2 linked regions of the Drosophila melanogaster genome follow. The protein of the gene in region 1 binds, or shares a complex with, the protein of each later gene. Each region holds a gene or a part of one and is shown in the gene's direction. Other genes may lie near its edges.

The links. The genes of interacting proteins can lie anywhere in the genome.
Region 2: su(Hw) (region 1) and Cp190 share a complex: the UniProt entries of both Drosophila melanogaster proteins name them as parts of the gypsy chromatin insulator complex.

The regions. Positions count from the first base shown.
Region 1 is NT_033777.3:14,302,653-14,311,538, reverse strand, and holds su(Hw) (suppressor of hairy wing), read left to right. Parts: upstream 1-2,949; 5' UTR 2,950-3,263; intron 3,264-3,330; exon of another isoform or gene 3,331-3,504; intron 3,505-3,568; 5' UTR 3,569-3,583; coding exon 3,584-4,441; intron 4,442-4,507; coding exon 4,508-4,935; intron 4,936-4,992; coding exon 4,993-5,125; intron 5,126-5,195; coding exon 5,196-5,386; intron 5,387-5,454; coding exon 5,455-5,579; intron 5,580-5,640; coding exon 5,641-6,731; 3' UTR 6,732-7,084; downstream 7,085-8,886. Other genes in the region: CG31321 (uncharacterized protein), read right to left, coding at 600-1,023; Polr2I (RNA polymerase II subunit I), read right to left, coding at 1,963-2,352; IFT54 (intraflagellar transport 54), read right to left, coding at 7,129-8,079, 8,145-8,707, 8,767-8,884. UniProt on the Drosophila melanogaster protein: Component of the gypsy chromatin insulator complex which is required for the function of the gypsy chromatin insulator and other endogenous chromatin insulators.
Region 2 is NT_033777.3:15,268,800-15,277,215, reverse strand, and holds Cp190 (centrosomal protein 190kD), read left to right. Parts: upstream 1-1,974; 5' UTR 1,975-2,091; intron 2,092-2,425; exon of another isoform or gene 2,426-2,604; 5' UTR 2,605-2,699; coding exon 2,700-3,101; intron 3,102-3,159; coding exon 3,160-4,159; intron 4,160-4,224; coding exon 4,225-5,165; intron 5,166-5,225; coding exon 5,226-6,173; 3' UTR 6,174-6,784; downstream 6,785-8,416. Other genes in the region: MRG15 (MORF-related gene 15), read left to right, coding at 1-631; CG4338 (uncharacterized protein), read right to left, coding at 778-1,602; Zip88E (Zinc/iron regulated transporter-related protein 88E), read right to left, coding at 7,021-7,031, 7,101-7,479, 7,611-7,812, 7,876-8,135, 8,205-8,416. UniProt on the Drosophila melanogaster protein: Plays a central role in chromatin domain organization and boundary function through recruitment by a range of insulator DNA-binding proteins, including ZIPIC, pita, CTCF, su(Hw), cliff and others.

The DNA.
Region 1 (8,886 bases):
GGAACAGGTTTGGAGCGATTGCGATTACGATTACTAGGTATCCACTAGGCTGAGGTCTTTGGAAGCGGCTCCAAATTAATCACCCGGCAATAGCGATAGAATGGGGGAATTTTTGTTAGCACCATCAGAAGACAGAAGGCGAAGGAGAAACTTATGAGCGAATCGATTAAAGAAGGTAATTAGATGTTCGGATAACCGCTAATTTCCGACGACATCCATCAAAAGACACGGATTCCTTCAGAAAAAAATGTGCACTCAAAGAAAATGTGTATATATAGCTATTCCATTTCAATTTAAAGAAAGTTCTCTAAGATATTTACAATCTTATGCTTGAGTAAAGTATCTCAATGTCTTTCTAGTCCCATTATCACTTGATAATACTATTATTTTTCGAGTGTACCTAACCCATTCGAGGGGCAGGGGAAATTTAAAATGCAGAGGAGTCGAGATGTGAAAAGAATTCGAATTTAATTTAAGCACAAACCTGAAATATAAGCAATGCTAATGCCAAACCCATAACCGAAATCAAAACGGCGTATACTTAATGAACGACTCGTGTTATGTGTATGATATATGTGTATGTTTGTCGCCTGGCTTACCCATGGGAGCTCGTTTCCCGGAGACATCTGCCGCCAGGATCTGTGCCTCCAGTTCCGCCTTGCACACCGTGTAGTTGAAGCCAGTGGCTCCGATGACAAGGTCAGCGAGATCCGGCGTCGCGCCCTGTGTGGTGTTCTCGAAATCAAAGTCATCGCACTCGATGCCCAGCTCCGATTTGTCCAGCATTGTGTCGCAGACGATCTTGTTGTAGCCGAGATTCACGCGACACGCCTTGTCCAGTGGGAAATTCTGCATGGCCACCGCATTGAACACGGAGGCCATGAAGTAGAAAAAGAAGAAGGGCTCGATGACCAGATAGTGGCGATAGCGCCACAGTTTCTGGAAATAGTTGAGCTTGGGCTCTGCATCCACTGCTCCACTGCCATTTCCAGCCGCATCTGCCGATGACCTTGGCTTTGCCATTTTTTTATAGCACTTGCTGAATTCCTCAAAACTCTTATTTTTTATACGATTCTATTCGATTCGATACGTCTCTGGCTCGGCAGGTTGCTCTAGCAGCACATTTTAAGCGATTTGATCAACACGTCGCGCCAGGTTCTAAGCTCAGACTAAACTAAGCGACGATTCCGGGGATCGGGCCAAGCCAAGCCAGGTCTACTACTCAAATACTCAAATGGGCAGTCGTTTGATACGCACAAGAAACTTGTTCAATCATTTCTTCGTCGCTTTCGGTTCTTATTTTTTTTATTTATTTTGTTTGTTGTCAGCTTCGATTAGAGCAGAACAATGATAAATATGAAGAATTGTCACCGGGCCGTGAACTGTGGAATTCGCACATGCCTCGGGGAGATTCGTTGCTCGCTCAGTTTTACATTCATAGATTGTCAGTCATAGTACACATTCATTTATAAATAAATAATGAAGACATTTGAATACAAGCGGGCTGACTTGATTAAGTTTATAACTATGAAATCTGGTTTTGCAGTTTATGTTGCCTAAATATGCAGCTTAACCTGCTAAATTTTATCATAAACCCGGAACACTTTCGTTGTTTTCTCAACTGCACTTGAACATTTGATCATTGAAATTAAGTAGTTTTGCCAAAACATATAGTAAGATGATACAGCAGTTTTCTCGCAATGAACTTATATATTTATTTTTAAGACTGAGCTATTTAAACATTTATACAAACCAAATCGAAGTTCTTGCAAGTGATTCAAAGTCATGCGGATCACATGCATTTTTTTTCAGTGCGAATGTTATTACATTAGGCGACAACCGAGAATGGAGCTGCACGTGGGATGTTTTTGCGGCATAGCCATGGGGGAATTCCAATTGTACGATTGCAAAGTGCCTTCGATTACTTAGGGCTACAATTAGAGGCAGATGGGTCGTCAGTTTCTACTCCGTCCAACGGTGGGTGCAGTTCTGGTTGGTGCACACGTAGTACAGTCGCATCTCCTCTTCGGCGCGACGAGTTTGCGCCTGGAAGAAGACCGCCTCCCGATGGGAGCACTTGGGACAAGCGTGGTCTTCGGTGCGCGGCAGCGTGGGATCGGAAATCACGTCGGGCACAATGTGGGTCAGCTCGTCGATCTCGTGCATAATCTTGTTCACGTAGATGCAGTTGGAGTCCGCCTCCTGTTTGTAATCGCAATTCCGGCAGGCGTACAGCAGGATCTTGTTCTCCTTGTCCTCCTTGGGGTACAGCATGTTGTTGCACTCCTGGCAGAACCGAATGCCCACGAATCCCGGCCCCTCAGTGTGTGCGGCATCAAAGGCAGTCGTCATGGCTATTGGCTTACAATTATTGCTAGTTAATTGCAATTTGTGAGTTAATGCGGCTTTTATTTACCTTTTTATCGTTGCAATTGGCGAAAGTGTGACCGTGGCAAGGCGGCTTAAATATACCGAGATCATGGGATAGGTATACCTCATTAACATACTAGCCTTTAACCCTTGTGAGCACTGCTATTTTAATTATATGCTTATATATTTTGTTTTTTATTTTATCAAAATGCATATTAAAGAATGCATTTATTTGTATTTTATTCAATTACTTTTTGTATAAAATGTTAAACCTGATAATTATCTTACCGAGCAACGGCTGCGGTGGCCTTCGACTGAAATTATATATAAATAGTGAAATGTTCCATATAAGCTTTATTGTTCGGATCATTAATCTATGCTTACAAAGTTAACCAATAAAAAGTTAATATAATATTAAGCCAGACACCGGCTATTTATTTTAAATTTATGTTGGAATTATTACAAATTTACAACCCAGAAGATTCAAAACAGAGGAAATTTCTTTGTACTTTTCATGGCGGCATGTTCAGATTATTTTTTCACGGGTTGTTGTAATTAATGGTATTTTCCAACCTACATGCAACGGTCACACTGAATTTTCATACACAAACGCTTGTCGTGTTGGAATTTAAAGCATAAAATTAGGTAAATTGTGATTTATTATCGGAAATGCGGTCAAAACCCTTTAAGGAACGCATCCCGTGATATGAGGACATGTTTGTGAAGCAAATACCTTAGCCAGTGACTTGATAATTTCACGCTCTTTATCGGCGATGGCAGTCACTTTCTTTCGCTGCGGAGCAGAAAAGTGCACTTCTAATCAGCAAAATAAGTGGTTAAAACCGATCCTCCACGTCCTTCGCCGGCACAAAATCACATTAAATATTTGAAAAGTATGCTACGGATTTGCGAGTGTATTAGAATTATTTGCTACCCCTTTGAAATACAATTTTATTTCAGAAGAAAACTTGTTGCGTTTTCTGTGCGTCAGGCGCAGGTAGTGTTGTCTCGCTCACACCAAGGCCGATCGATCGTAAAGATCGAACAGCGCGACGCCATTTTTTCTTAGCAGCTTTTGGGCGTGTGTTGGTGACGCTGGCAAAATGTGATGTTCAGTAAATCACGTGCCTAAAAGTAGACTAAAGCGGTCACTGGTTATCCTGATCCTGAATTATCATCCAATCGATCTTAATTGCAGGCTGGTATCACCAACATGAGTGCCTCCAAGGAGGGCAAGGAAAAGAAGGGCAAGCTGCTGGGTGTGGAAAACATTTCGCCGCCTAAGGACAAACGTCCCGCCACCAGGATGAAGCTCTTGAATGACGTGGGAGCTGGTGAGGATTCGGAGGCAAGCACTACTACTACCACATCAAGAACTCCCTCCAACAAGCAGGAGAAGCGTGGCAGTGTCGCTGGATCGCGCATCAAAATACTCAATGAAGAAATACTGGGCACTCCGAAAACTGAGAAACGGGGCGCCACAAAGAGCACAGCTCCGGCTGCTTCCACTGTGAAGATTCTGAACGAGAAAAAGACACCCAGTGCTACCGTGACAGCCGTGGAAACTACCAAGATCAAGACGTCTCCCAGTAAAAGAAAGAAAATGGAGCACTATGTACTTCAGGCTGTGAAATCAGAAAATACCAAGGCGGACACCACGGTTACCGTGGTCACCGAAGAAGATGACACCATTGATTTCATTCTAGCGGATGATGAGGAAGTAGTTCCGGGCAGAATAGAAAATAACAACGGCCAGGAGATCGTTGTCACCGAGGACGATGAGGATCTAGGGGAGGATGGTGATGAGGACGGTGAAGACTCCTCAGGCAAGGGCAACTCTAGCCAGACAAAGATCAAGGAGATCGTGGAGCATGTGTGTGGCAAATGCTACAAGACCTTCCGTCGCGTTCAGAGTCTGAAAAAGCATCTAGAGTTCTGTCGCTATGACAGTGGGTATCATTTGCGCAAAGCCGACATGCTTAAGAACCTGGAGAAGATCGAGAAGGATGCCGTGGTGATGGAGAAGAAGGACATATGCTTCTGCTGCAGCGAAAGTTACGACACCTTCCATGTAAGTCATAAAGATTGATACCAAGAGAAGTAAGCATAACTTTCGCATACCACATTTTCCTTTCAGCTGGGTCACATTAACTGTCCCGACTGCCCCAAGTCGTTTAAGACACAGACCAGTTACGAACGCCACATTTTCATCACTCACTCCGAGTTCAGCGATTTTCCTTGCTCCATTTGCAATGCCAACTTGCGCAGCGAGGCCTTGTTGGCGCTCCACGAGGAACAGCACAAGTCACGTGGCAAGCCGTATGCATGCAAGATCTGCGGCAAGGACTTCACCCGCTCGTACCACTTGAAGCGCCACCAGAAGTACTCATCGTGCTCATCGAACGAGACCGATACCATGAGCTGCAAGGTGTGCGATCGTGTCTTCTATCGGCTGGACAACCTGCGATCGCATTTGAAGCAGCATTTGGGTACACAGGTGGTTAAAAAGCCGGAGTACATGTGCCACACGTGCAAGAATTGTTTCTACAGCCTGTCCACGCTGAAGTAGGTTTTCTAATTGATTTTAAAAGACATAAAGTAATGTTCGGTATATTTTCGCAGCATTCACATACGCACTCATACGGGGGAGAAACCATTTGACTGCGATCTTTGCGACAAGAAGTTTTCTGCATTGGTGGCCCTTAAAAAGCATCGACGCTATCACACTGGCGAGAAACCATACAGTTGCACTGTGGTTAGTCTTAAAACTTCCGTAACTTTTCATTTAACCTATTGTAACAATGCGGTATTCTATTACCTTTTAGTGCAACCAAGCATTTGCCGTAAAGGAAGTGCTCAATCGTCACATGAAACGGCACACTGGAGAGCGTCCGCACAAGTGTGATGAATGTGGCAAGAGTTTTATCCAGGCCACCCAGCTGCGCACCCATTCCAAAACCCATATTCGCCCCTTTCCCTGTGAGCAATGCGACGAAAAATTCAAAACAGAGAAACAGTAAGATATTAAAAAACCTTTTATCTTTTCTGTTAGCCCTACTTACTTATTGCAATTTTGTTTCGCAGACTTGAGCGCCATGTGAAGACCCATTCTCGCACAAAACGCCCCGTCTTTTCCTGCGCCGAGTGCAAGCGTAATTTCCGCACTCCAGCATTGCTCAAGGAGCATATGGACGAGGGAAAACACAGCCGTAAGTTGGAATCGACAATTGGCAATAATCAAGGCTTTAATCCCGCTCCTACCCTTTGTAGCGAAACAACAACGGTCATCAATGCGATCGGCCGTCAAAATTATGGAACGCACGGATTGCGCCATTTGCGATAAGAACTTTGACAGCAGCGATACCCTGCGACGGCACATACGCACCGTTCACGAATGCGATCCGGATGACATTTTTGGCGTTGAGCCGCATCCATCAAAGCGGGCAAAGAAGGACATCGAATCGGAGGAGGTTGTACCAGTGGCGTTAAACACATCGGCGGGCTCGTTAATTTCTAGCCAAACGGACGGGAATGGCGTTGTGGTGCGTGAATTCCTCGTGGACGAAGGCGATGGCGCGGCCCAGACCATTACACTAGAAAACGAAACATACACAATTCTGCCCCTGGACGGGGCCATCGAGGGAGAGCAGCTGACGGATGAGGCTGGCGTTAAGCCCGAGGCGAAGAAGGAGGAGGCGCAGGTCTCGCCGGTGGTAAAGAAAGAGCAGCGTAAATCCCTGGCCGCCAGTCTGGCCGCTGCCATCGCAGATAATTTGGAAGAATCATGTAGCGAGGATGACTTCAGTGGCGAAATTCTAACTGAGGAGGACATAAAGCTCAAAGAGAATGTGGGTAAACTTATTGATATGCTAGTGGATCCACCGATCCTAAAGAAATACGGCTGGCCCAATGCCCCCGAGGAGACGGTGCTCTGCAAAGTGATCGAGAACTGTGGCCACGACCTAACCAAAGGTGGCGAAAACTACGCTGAGCTTGACTACGGTAGCCGCATGCGAGAGTACTGCAAACTGCTCTTTACCGTGGTCATTCACAACGATTCCATCAAGTCGCTGCTCAATAATTTCCCCATCGACGATGTGATCGAATATGTACTGGGAGATGAGGATCAGGACGAAGGTGGATTGGACAAAGACAATGAGTCACATTCAGGTGATGAAGAAGCGGTGTCGGTCACAGGCGAAACTAAAACAAATGAAATCAGAGAGAAACCGGAAAAGAAGGAAGTTTCGGCGAAATCTGAAAAGAAGGAGATCGTGGGGAAAGCTGTGGATAAGGATAACTCAGAGGAGGTGGTCCGGGAAAATAAGAAAAAACCTGTAGGCGAACAAGAGAAAGCTTGATTTTCCAGCCCTTGATGCATGCGTACAATTACCGCACAAAAACCATATTCTAGGAATTGATCGTTGATGATTTTTACAACATTTGTATTTTTAAGATCGTTGGTTTTGGTACAAACACCAAGTGACCTTAAAAGAGAAACTTACCGTCTGTTGCTTGAATATTCAGACATCTTGCGCATTGACAAATTACCCAAAAACAAACAAACCAACATATTACATATCAAAGATATTTTGATATTATTATATAGATTTTATATATTTTTGAATTGAATGATGTTACCAAGCAATATATGCATGGCTATTTTTATAGTACTCTTATTAATTATAAAATATACAAATTCAATATTTTCGATAAAACTCTCTTGAATTTTTAACAATGCTTATTAATCCTCAATGCTTACTGTTCCATCATCAACTTCAGAATACGTGCGTTGTTTTGCAAGATCTTGTGGCGACTCTCGTCGATTAGCTCCCGGTACTCCGCAATGCTGGCTTGGATTTGCTGCAACTGATGCTGCAGGGGCTCCGTGGCAGATGCCGTGAGAGTCTGCTCCCTTTTTAGTTCCGTGGATGCCTGCGTGTAGGTGTCGCGCCACATCGTAAGCTCCAGCTGCATTGCATCAAAATCCTCGGGTATGCAGTCCAGTAGTTTACCCAGCGGACCTATCGACTTGGTGAGCTTTTGGACTACGTCGCGTACGTCGTTCACCTGGCGCGCAGAAGTTTGTCGGCCTGCCTGTGCTGGAGGCGGTTCCACTTCGGCGCCTTGATTGACCAGTTCCTTTTGCGTTTCCAAGATCTGCTGCACCAATCGTCCCTGGGCATCGAGCTGTCCTTCCAATGCCGGTTCGTCACCGCCACCTTCGACAATATCATGGGCGGCGGAATCTTCTATGATCACCAGGTTCTCTCCGTCGTCGTCCAAGTCGCCAAAGGTTTCAAGCTTTACATTTATGCCCGACATTTTGATCTGATCGTTTGGCTGGAGCACGATCTCCACATTGCGACGTCGTGGAGCTCCGGGACGTGCGGAGGCGGGTCGAGCGGATGGAGGTCTAAGTGAGGTTCTGGGCCGTTGATTCACTTCCTTAGAGTTCTCTCTGGTGAGGGGAACCTCCCGCTTCGCTTCGCCGCTGTTGGTCTCCGGTGGAGAGCTGGTTTCTGACGACTGCACCGCTGGCTGGGATTGGCTCTCATTGGGAATGGGATTAGGTTCCGGTTGCCTGTGGCTGCCACTAGAACGGCGACTTCTGCTAGAGGATTTGCGACTCTCAGGCTCAGCTGGTGGAGCAGTTGGAGTTTCCTGGACAGGTCTCACCACTGCCTCCTTCTCTTTTAATGGAGGAACCTGTTTGGGTATACGCATAACTTATGGATTTCTAATTTTAAAGCAAATTAACTTATTTTTCTTACCATTTCCGGCTCTGGTTTGCTTGGAGCACTTTCGCTTGCAGCAGGCTTGGTTGATCCTTCTTCCACTGGCGACATAGACTGGCTAAGATTATCGCTCTCTGTTGAAGGCTGCAGTTTGGCTTTGGACTTCTGCTTAACTGGTGACGGACTCTTTTGCTTCGAGTTTTGTCGACTTAACTTCGTCTCATCCTTGGGTGCCTTGGACTTCTTCTGGGATGCTTTATCCTTCTCGGTGGGGGGAGTAGAACGGGACACCTGTTCTTTGACCTTGCGCAGCTTCTGCTCTTGAGGCGATATACGTTTCTCCTTGCGTCGCTTTGCATCCTCATCCTTGCCGGCGGGTGAGGGATTTTTGCTTGAATTTTTAGTTTCCTTCGGTGGCTTGGTAAGCGTCAGTGGTGTTTTGCTGTGGGAAATCACCACCTGATCCACAATGCTGTCCCACTCCAAGTTCTTTTCCGCAACACTGGCCATCGCCTGGAGGAGCTCATTGGTGAGCTCCGGTTCCTGGCCAGCAACTATTTTTGAAGTGCGTACTTTGAGATCCAGTTTGGTTGTTAGTTCTGCGAAAGCAAACACCTTGTAGCTAATTCAGAGCACCAGCATTGTAAGCCAAACTCACTGGTTGCATCGATCATCTTCTGCAGAAATCGAATCTTATCCTCCCGACTGGTTATGTTCTCGAACATCTGCTCTTCCGGCGTGTATAATCCATCAAATGTGCCACTTTGCTTGATAAACT
Region 2 (8,416 bases), 970 kb from region 1:
TTCTCTTACGGGAAGCGATGTAGCAGAAAAGCCGTTGCCGCCCACTACCACTCCATCCACACCCACCACGGAGCCGGCACCGTGTGTGGAAAGCGAGGAGGCCTACGCAGCTAAGGTGGAGGTCAAGATTAAGATACCCGACGAGTTAAAGCACTATCTGACCGACGACTGGTATGCGGTGGTGCGGGAGCACAAACTGCTGGAGCTGCCCGCCAAGGTTACCGTGCAGCAGATCTCTGAGCAGTATTTGGCGCACAAGAAGTCCGTGAAATCGACCAGTGCCAGCAAGGAGGTTGCCATAAACGATGTACTCGACGGAATTGTAGAGTACTTCAATGTAATGCTGGGCTCCCAGTTGCTGTACAAATTCGAACGCACCCAGTACGCGGATGTGATGCAGAAGCATCCGGACACACCGTTGTCCGAGCTTTACGGATCTTTTCACCTGCTGCGTCTGTTTGTCCGCCTTGGCTCAATGCTCAGCTACTCTGCGTTGGATCAGCAGTCCATGCAGAACCTACTCACGCACGTGCAGGATTTCCTTAAATTCCTCGTAAAGAACAGCTCAATATTTTTCAGCATGAGCAACTTTATCAACGTTGATCCCGAGTACGTGCGAAATGCACAGTAAGCAATAATCTTTTCTTGACTTGAAGTAAATATTTCATCAAAACAGTTTGCAATAATTCGGTGGTTGCTCTCAATTTGCTCCCAAATTGTAAATTAAAACACAAGTAAAATGTTTTGTCATAAGGTAATAAATGTCAGCACCTTGTATTAGTTCTTCGGTTTCGCTTTTGTGTCTTCATCATCGCCCTCGGTCTCCGTCTCGCTACTACTACTACTACTGCTGGTGGGATAGAAGTCGCGAAGATCCCTAGGCTTATCCCGCTCCTGCTGTTCCTTCTCCAGGTACTCATTCTGCACCTTAACAATCTCATCGCTGCTCTTGCAGGCTGCATAGGCATTGAGAAGCTTGTCGTTTAGCTCCAGAAAGGCATGACCCCATGAGAACTTGCCCAGAAACCAGCGAGCCTCTTCCGTGAATCCACAGATGTATAGAGTGGCGGCTATGGCCTCCACGCAGCTGAGCTTGCAGGGCTTTCCGTAGTTGATGGGATTGGCGGCCACCAAGAAGGGCAGCAGTCGCGGATGTGGGCTGCGCATCCTTCCAAAGGGCGTCTCGTCCAGCTTGGCCCACGAGCAGTCGATCACGGCCACGCCCGAAGAGGCCACCACATCGCGATCCAGCGGACTTACACACAACTGGCCAACGGGCGAGAGGACAAGGCCAGGAAACTTCTGACCCAGTCGAAGATTTGAAATGAGTCCTAGGCGTGCCAGTTTCCTGCCCGAACACTTCTTTGGATCGCAGTGGTTGAGGTCCCACATGGCCACCGCAAACTCCGGCGGCTGGCCGAGATCATTTTGGGCTCCATCTCCCGAGGATTCCGAGTCGGAACTTTCATTTTCGCTGCTACTGCTGCTGGCCAGCTCGTTGGCCTGCTGAGCAAAGCTGCGGGCACAATTGTGATTCGCTTTGACATTGCGGTAGGGTCCTCCTCCACCCTTCTTTCCTTTGCCGCGGTTCCGTCCACTCATTATGTTTTGGTTTAAAACTTTATCAAAGCAAAAAAGAATCAAAGTGTTTTTAACGTCTCGTGGTGGCCAAGCCGACGACCCGTTTTATATATTTTGATTGCAAAGAAGGGTGGCGCAAGAAATGTGACACATTACGATGTCACTTTTCAAAATTTCAATAGTTTAAGTAAATGTATTTTGTTTTCAACTGCAAAACAATATTTATTAAAGTATTTTAAGTATATGTATTGTGTTTAGTAAGATTTAGCTTAAACTGCAATAACCTTAAAGTATATCATATTCAAATATTTTTAGACTTAACGATTAACTTCATCTGCGTTTACGTCACCTTAAAAATGTTAAGCATGAGACTGAGGTTATCGCATGGCTATCGATAGCTGCCGAGCGCAACCCTGTCACGCCAACGATGAATGGAAAAGAATATGGCGACCTGACTCTGGAAAAAAATTATAATTTGTCCGGCAAAAGTAGTGTGCAATTCAAAGAAATGTATGTATTAAAAGTGCAATTGTGCGGCGATTGTCTGAAAAAAGTACATTCAATCAAAGGACACGCAGTAAACAAGCCGCTGAGGTCAAAGTGATTTGTGCGTGCCCCAAAAAAACCATTGTTGTGTGAAGTGGACAGGCGCGCCAAAAGGGCTCAAAAAATGCCACCCACCGAAAGATGCCAAAGTTGGACTTACAAGAAAACATTGCAGAATTGCGGACAATGAACAATTACTGATAAATAATACAAGAAGCCTGGCGACGCGCACATCGCACACATACGCCCGCGAAACTGTCACACGTACACAGGCGTATATCGATATTTGCGAGTTGCATTTCGCGCCGTGGCGGCAGAGCAAAATAAACCGAATAACCCAAAATCAACGGGCGTCTATTTGAAACTAACAGCGGAATATACCATACTTACTAATTGTTATTCTTTCTTGTTTTACCCATTCACCTGCGTCCCATCCCAATACGCTTTTTCCGACTCCTTACCCCTGCGTGAGTACAGTTGCGCCCTGAAGCCAGAGCAAGCGAAACCACGGGGAGGCTAACGATAAGGATACGGAAACGGAGAGCACGGCCACTAGCCAAGCACACAGCAATATGGGTGAAGTCAAGTCCGTGAAAGTGGACAACTGGGGAGTCTTCTTCCTGCAGAAGCTGCAGAACTTCTTTAATAAAACGGATTACTGCGATTTGACGCTGCAGTTTCGGGACAATTCACAGCTAAAGGTACACCGTCTGGTGCTCAGCGCCTGCACCGACTACTTCAATGTACTGGAGCAGACCTGCGAGATCGTCGACGATGCCCTCATCATGCCCAACGAGTTCCAGGCGGACGTGGTGGTGCCCATTGTCAACTTCATGTACACAGGCACCCTGGAGTTTGAGCTTAAAATGTACGGCAAGCTGTTGCGCACCGCCAAGGAAATGAACATGACGGTGCTGTTGAAGCTGCTAGAGGCGCACCGTCGCACCATGGAGAACGTTAATCGCCAGCAAAGGGTGAGTGGTGGCAATTCATCATTTGTGAAAATATTTTGTAACCTTTTATTTTCTTTAGCCGCCTAGTCCAAAGGGAATACGCCGGCGCACAGTTGGACAGCCCAGTTCGGGTCTTCCACAACAGCGCGTCTTGGGTCCTTCGCCGCAATCGCGAAACGTAGCCACACCCATCGCGCAACGAGCCAACACACAGCGCGGGTCAACTGGCAACACAATGAGCCGAACATCAGGTGGCTCAAATCGTTCGCCGTATGGAGATAGTAGCAATGTGAAGCAGGAGCCAACGTCACCATTCGAGCAGCTGCGAAAGGGTTATAACAATAACAAGAGACCAGCACAGACAAGCCTGCTATCGCCGCCATCCAAGAAGCCCAGTTTGGAAGAGGTTAAGGAATTCGCTGAGCAACAACGGATGCGAAAGCAAATCGCCGCTGAGTACGGAGATAACGATCCTGAGTACGATGGAGGAATGCTTTATGATGATGTCCATGCCGGGGACGATGATGACGATGATATGCCACCGCAGCCATCTACATCTAAGCAGCAATCCCCACAGGGTACACAGACCCAACTAGAACATGGATCCACCACCATTATCTTGAAACAGGACTCACCCAGCCAGACCCCAACAATAATTGTCAAGGACTCCTCCAACGCCAAGCTGAATCACACCAAGATCATTGCCGAAGTCTTGCGCCAGTATCCGCACATTGTAAAGGGCCACAAAAACATAAAGCTAAAGATTATGCCCAATACCCCGGCAGCGCCGACCGAAAAATCTGCTCCAGCGACAGTAAAACCCCCGGCGAACCAGTCATCCGCAACTACATCGCCACACAAGAAACTGCACGTTTCTTTCAAAGCCGACAAGAGTACGCCACTAATCACAGCACAACAGAAGGCGGCTAGCTCTCAGCAAAAGTCGGGAACCTCGCAGACAACCGGTAACCAGGGAACCGGGGCGAATCCACCAGCAAATACAGCCGCAGCCCAGAAGAGACGCATTGATAGTAAGACAATGCACGCCTTGATCGCTCAGGGAGCAGAGAATACTACTGGTGAGTACAACATTTGTAGGTAATAGGTTCCCAAAAACAACTACTAATGAATATCTATATTTCAGGGCCCTGGCTGTGCCTGAGATGCGGCGTAAACGGACGACCCATTAGCATTCCGTCGTACCGAGGCTTCCGACGCCATCTGATCAACACGCACAAGGAGACAATTGATCCGGCGCTTTGTGAGCATTGCGGGTGGAGGTCTGTCAACAACCGGGAACTGCATTTCCACATGTATATGGAGCACCAGACCAAGTCGCTGCTGTATACGTTTGCCGAGTGCGCGCTATGCAACCAGTCTTACCGGACCAAGGGTGAGTTGGAGGCGCACATAAACGAGGTGCACACGGACGACAACAAGCAGCAGTGCATCTACTGCAACAAGGTGTTCGAGCAAGAGCTGCAGCTGTACAGACACATGAAGAGCTACCACAAGGAGCAGGCTTTGGAGGATGGCATTATCGATGAAACGGACGAAGAATTCCTCGGCTCGCAAGACGAGGAGGAAGAGGCCGAAGGAGACGAAGAGCAGGAACCAGAGCAGACTGGCAAAGTGCGAATCCTTTCGGACATAAGTCTACCAGCCACCAGTGCCATCACAGTGCAGCAAGCTCAACAGGAGCAACTGCAAGAGGAAGATGTTGAACAGGTGCAGCAGGAAGTCAAATTCGTGGGCGCCGATGGCAATGAGGTGGAGCTTACTGATGAGCAGCGCAAAGAGATTCTCTCACAGCTTAACCAGCAGCAAGCAGGCGCCACTGCCGGCGGTGTGGTAATGGTGCTCAGTGAGCCAGAAGCGGAGCACGTCAAGCAGGAGACCGATGAAAAATCCCTGGCCGGCACCGAAGAGGAATATGATGACAGTCAAATCTATAGCGAACTGGGTGCTGCCGACTCTGTGGAGAGCGCCAAAAAGAACATTGCTGATGAAAGCAAAGAGTCCATTGACAACCTGGAATGGGCCGAAAACCTTATAGCCGAGTCTGAAGAACAGAGCAACAAGGAGGTGAGTTTATTAAACACTTTTATGCAAGTACATCTACAACATGAGTCATACAACTTACAGCCAAAATCGGATAAGCCGCGAGATGACATTAGTGAAAAGCTAAAGGAGCTTACCGGCGACTGGACGGAGGATGAGAACGATGACGATGTCGACGATAAGCCCGCTACCGCAGAGCTTGCATCCGAACTAGCCAACAAGGACCCTGAGCCAACAGTACACGAGGAAGAAGATGATATTGACTTGGCTCTCCAGTCTCTACACAAGGGACCCGAAGAGGCAACTGAAGAAAAGGCAAGTGAGGAGTCTGTCACCAGTGCGGACGATGCAGTTGACGCAGTCCCCAATATAAATAGTCAGCCCGAGAAAATGGATGTGGACTCAGAAGCGGCGGACGAGAAGGCTTCGAAGGCCGAGGTCCAGATCAAGAAAGAGGCTGAGCTTGAAAACGATCAAGAGGAATTTATCAAAGAGGATTCACCAATTCCGCATTCCGATTCCGTGGCGGAATTAAGAGAGGCGGTAACTGCCTCTGAGGGCGAGGATGATGTGCATCTAGAGGCCGATAACATACGCAAAGAGCTGCTAGATGAGTTAATTGCCGAGGCCGAGAAACCTGATCAGGAGAAGGACATTGTTCAATCTGAAGAGAATGCGACGACAGAGGCGTTAGATAGGTCAGTAACGGACGAGGATGACCTGGTGCCACCTACGCAGGTATCTACCGAACAAATGGAGATTGATGAACCAGCAGCGGAAAAAGCAGCCGAAAATAATGAAGATACTAGAACGGCAGACGAGAAGGAAGCCGTCGAGGACAAACCAAACCAGACACAGGATGTAACCACTGCAGAAAAGCCGACACTAGAAAGTGCAAAAGCAGGTGATGAAGCAACGTCAGGTGAAGCAGCCAGCGTGGACAAGGTCAAGAGCCTCATTAGCGAATGGGGTGACGACGATGAGGACGAGGATGAGAATGGGGTTAGTGCGGCGGCGAAGGAGGAGCTATAATTACTAGATTTATTTATGTTCTAAGTTTGGCGATTCAACGCAGGTCAGCAGATAAACGCACCTGAGCTCGGCGCGAATTTTCGGTTTCTATTGTAAATTAAATTGTTAATGAAGATCAAGGTGAATGATAAGATATGCATATGCACTGGTTTAAGTGTATAAGATCTAATCTACTCATCTCACGTAATTGTAAATCCCCTCCCATCCCAAGTATGTTGCCCTGCTAGCATGAAAATCGTAAATCTAAGAGGAGTTCCCCAAATGACCTTAAATGAGAGATCAGAGACCAAACAACCCAACATTTAGCTATTTATGAGTGTCCGTTTCTTCACACATACACCACCAATAGAGCAACCAAGCAACATTTCACGATTAGGTAAACACTATATATATATATACACATATGCCTATTTACATACATATAGAGATGTAGTTACATAGATGTTGTTTTAATTCGTTTAAAACAGTGACATGATGTCCCCAGAAAGTAATAAAATGATTGCGTTTAATGGTTGGCTAAGTAAGATTAATCAAAAGGAAAAGAGGATGCCCTTTTTTTGATTAACAACTTAATTGTAAGGTTTATTACATATAATAAAAGCATAAAAAATAACACAAACTTTGGAGAAAGAGAAAATATAAATGTAGACGAGAAGACTGAACTTTTTACTTATCCTACGGCAGATCGACAATGTACCTAAAACAAGATTAGTTGGAAATGCACAAGTAACAAGTCTTACACAAGAGATTAACAGCTGCCAATCCATAATATTATCCTAAGTGTTCTAAGTTTAAAAAGCGGCACATTTTCTCACAGCGCTGAAACGATTTCTCAACGAAAAGATGTCTAATCCTCATCTGAAAAGGCGCGAAGAAAATAGGTCAGCAATGTCGAAAGGGAAATGCAAATCACATAATGCTACGCACCAGAAAGATAAAAGTTTATGATGCACATGGTCGCAAAGCCGGCGAGCACAGTTGCAAACTGTGCAAATCCCGCCCAGCGTCGCGTTGAGTTCGAGTGCCAGCGCGCCTTCTCGCGCGGTATCACCTCGCAGACGGTGACGTAGAAGAGTGTGCCTCCGGCCAGAGCTTGGACGATAGGCAGAGTTTTGCTGGACCAAGCGGCGGGCACGTCCACGATAAGCATGCCCAGGCCAATGCCAATGACGGCGCCCAGGGCAAACACCGAAATGCCGACGAACTGGGCGCGAAAACTCGTCTGCGGATTCGAGCGGAACTCGAGCCCCAGACAAAAGCCCATCACGAACTTGTGGCAGGCGACGGCCCCTAGAAGAAACAGAACCTACGACGAGACAAAGCAGATTCCGGTTATCTAATTGGACTAAGCCCTCGCATCTCTTTGCTTCAATATTTGCCTAAGATTGCGCACTATAGCCGATCTAGTCTAACTATGTCAAGGCAGGCGGCACAGACCTTTGTGGAAGAGTTCTGAACGCCGATGGCGAGTCCTTCGATGGCCGAGTGCAGTGACAGGGCGACAAAGAGACCCAGAGTGCCTGTCATGGATTGGGCGCAGGGTTCCGTGTGGCTGGTGTGGCAGATGCGGGCGTTGGCGTCCTCTACACTGGCATCATTACAGCCAGATGCGCTGGCCGGGTGATTGTGGTCATGATCGCTGCGTAATCGAAGCACAAAGCAATTAGTTTTGGCTGCGGGAAGGGAAATGCAATAAACCTACTGGCTATGATGGTGCGAATGCCCATGTGACGTATTGGGTTCCGCTGATAAAAGGGGCGCTCGTTCGTCCACTGCGCCATAACCATTGTCATTAGTGGGACGTCTTGGTGGCTCGGTTGCTGGAGTCTCTGCATCGTGGGCATGAGTGTGCTGAATGGCCTCGCCAAAGAAGTAGTGTATGAACTCGTCGATAAAGTAGATGATGAAGAACCCGCCGCACATGGCAACCTCAGCGAATTTCGAGTCCATTTGTTCGCGCACCTGTTGCATGCGTAAGTCAGCAGGTTATCAAATTGCAGCCACACACACGATCGCAGTCCAAGCTCTTACCTCGGGCAGAATGTGCACCAGTGCGGTGGCTAGCAGAATGCCCGCTCCGAAGCACAGGAGCAGGGATGCGGTCAGCGGGAAGCGGCGACGATTCCGTTCCGATATAAAGGCGGGCAGCAATCCGAACAAAAGACTCCCGAGTCCGAGGACCAGCATAGCCAGCACTTTTTCCAAGTCGCCGCGACTCGTGGCAGCCAGGGTGGGGCTTGGGG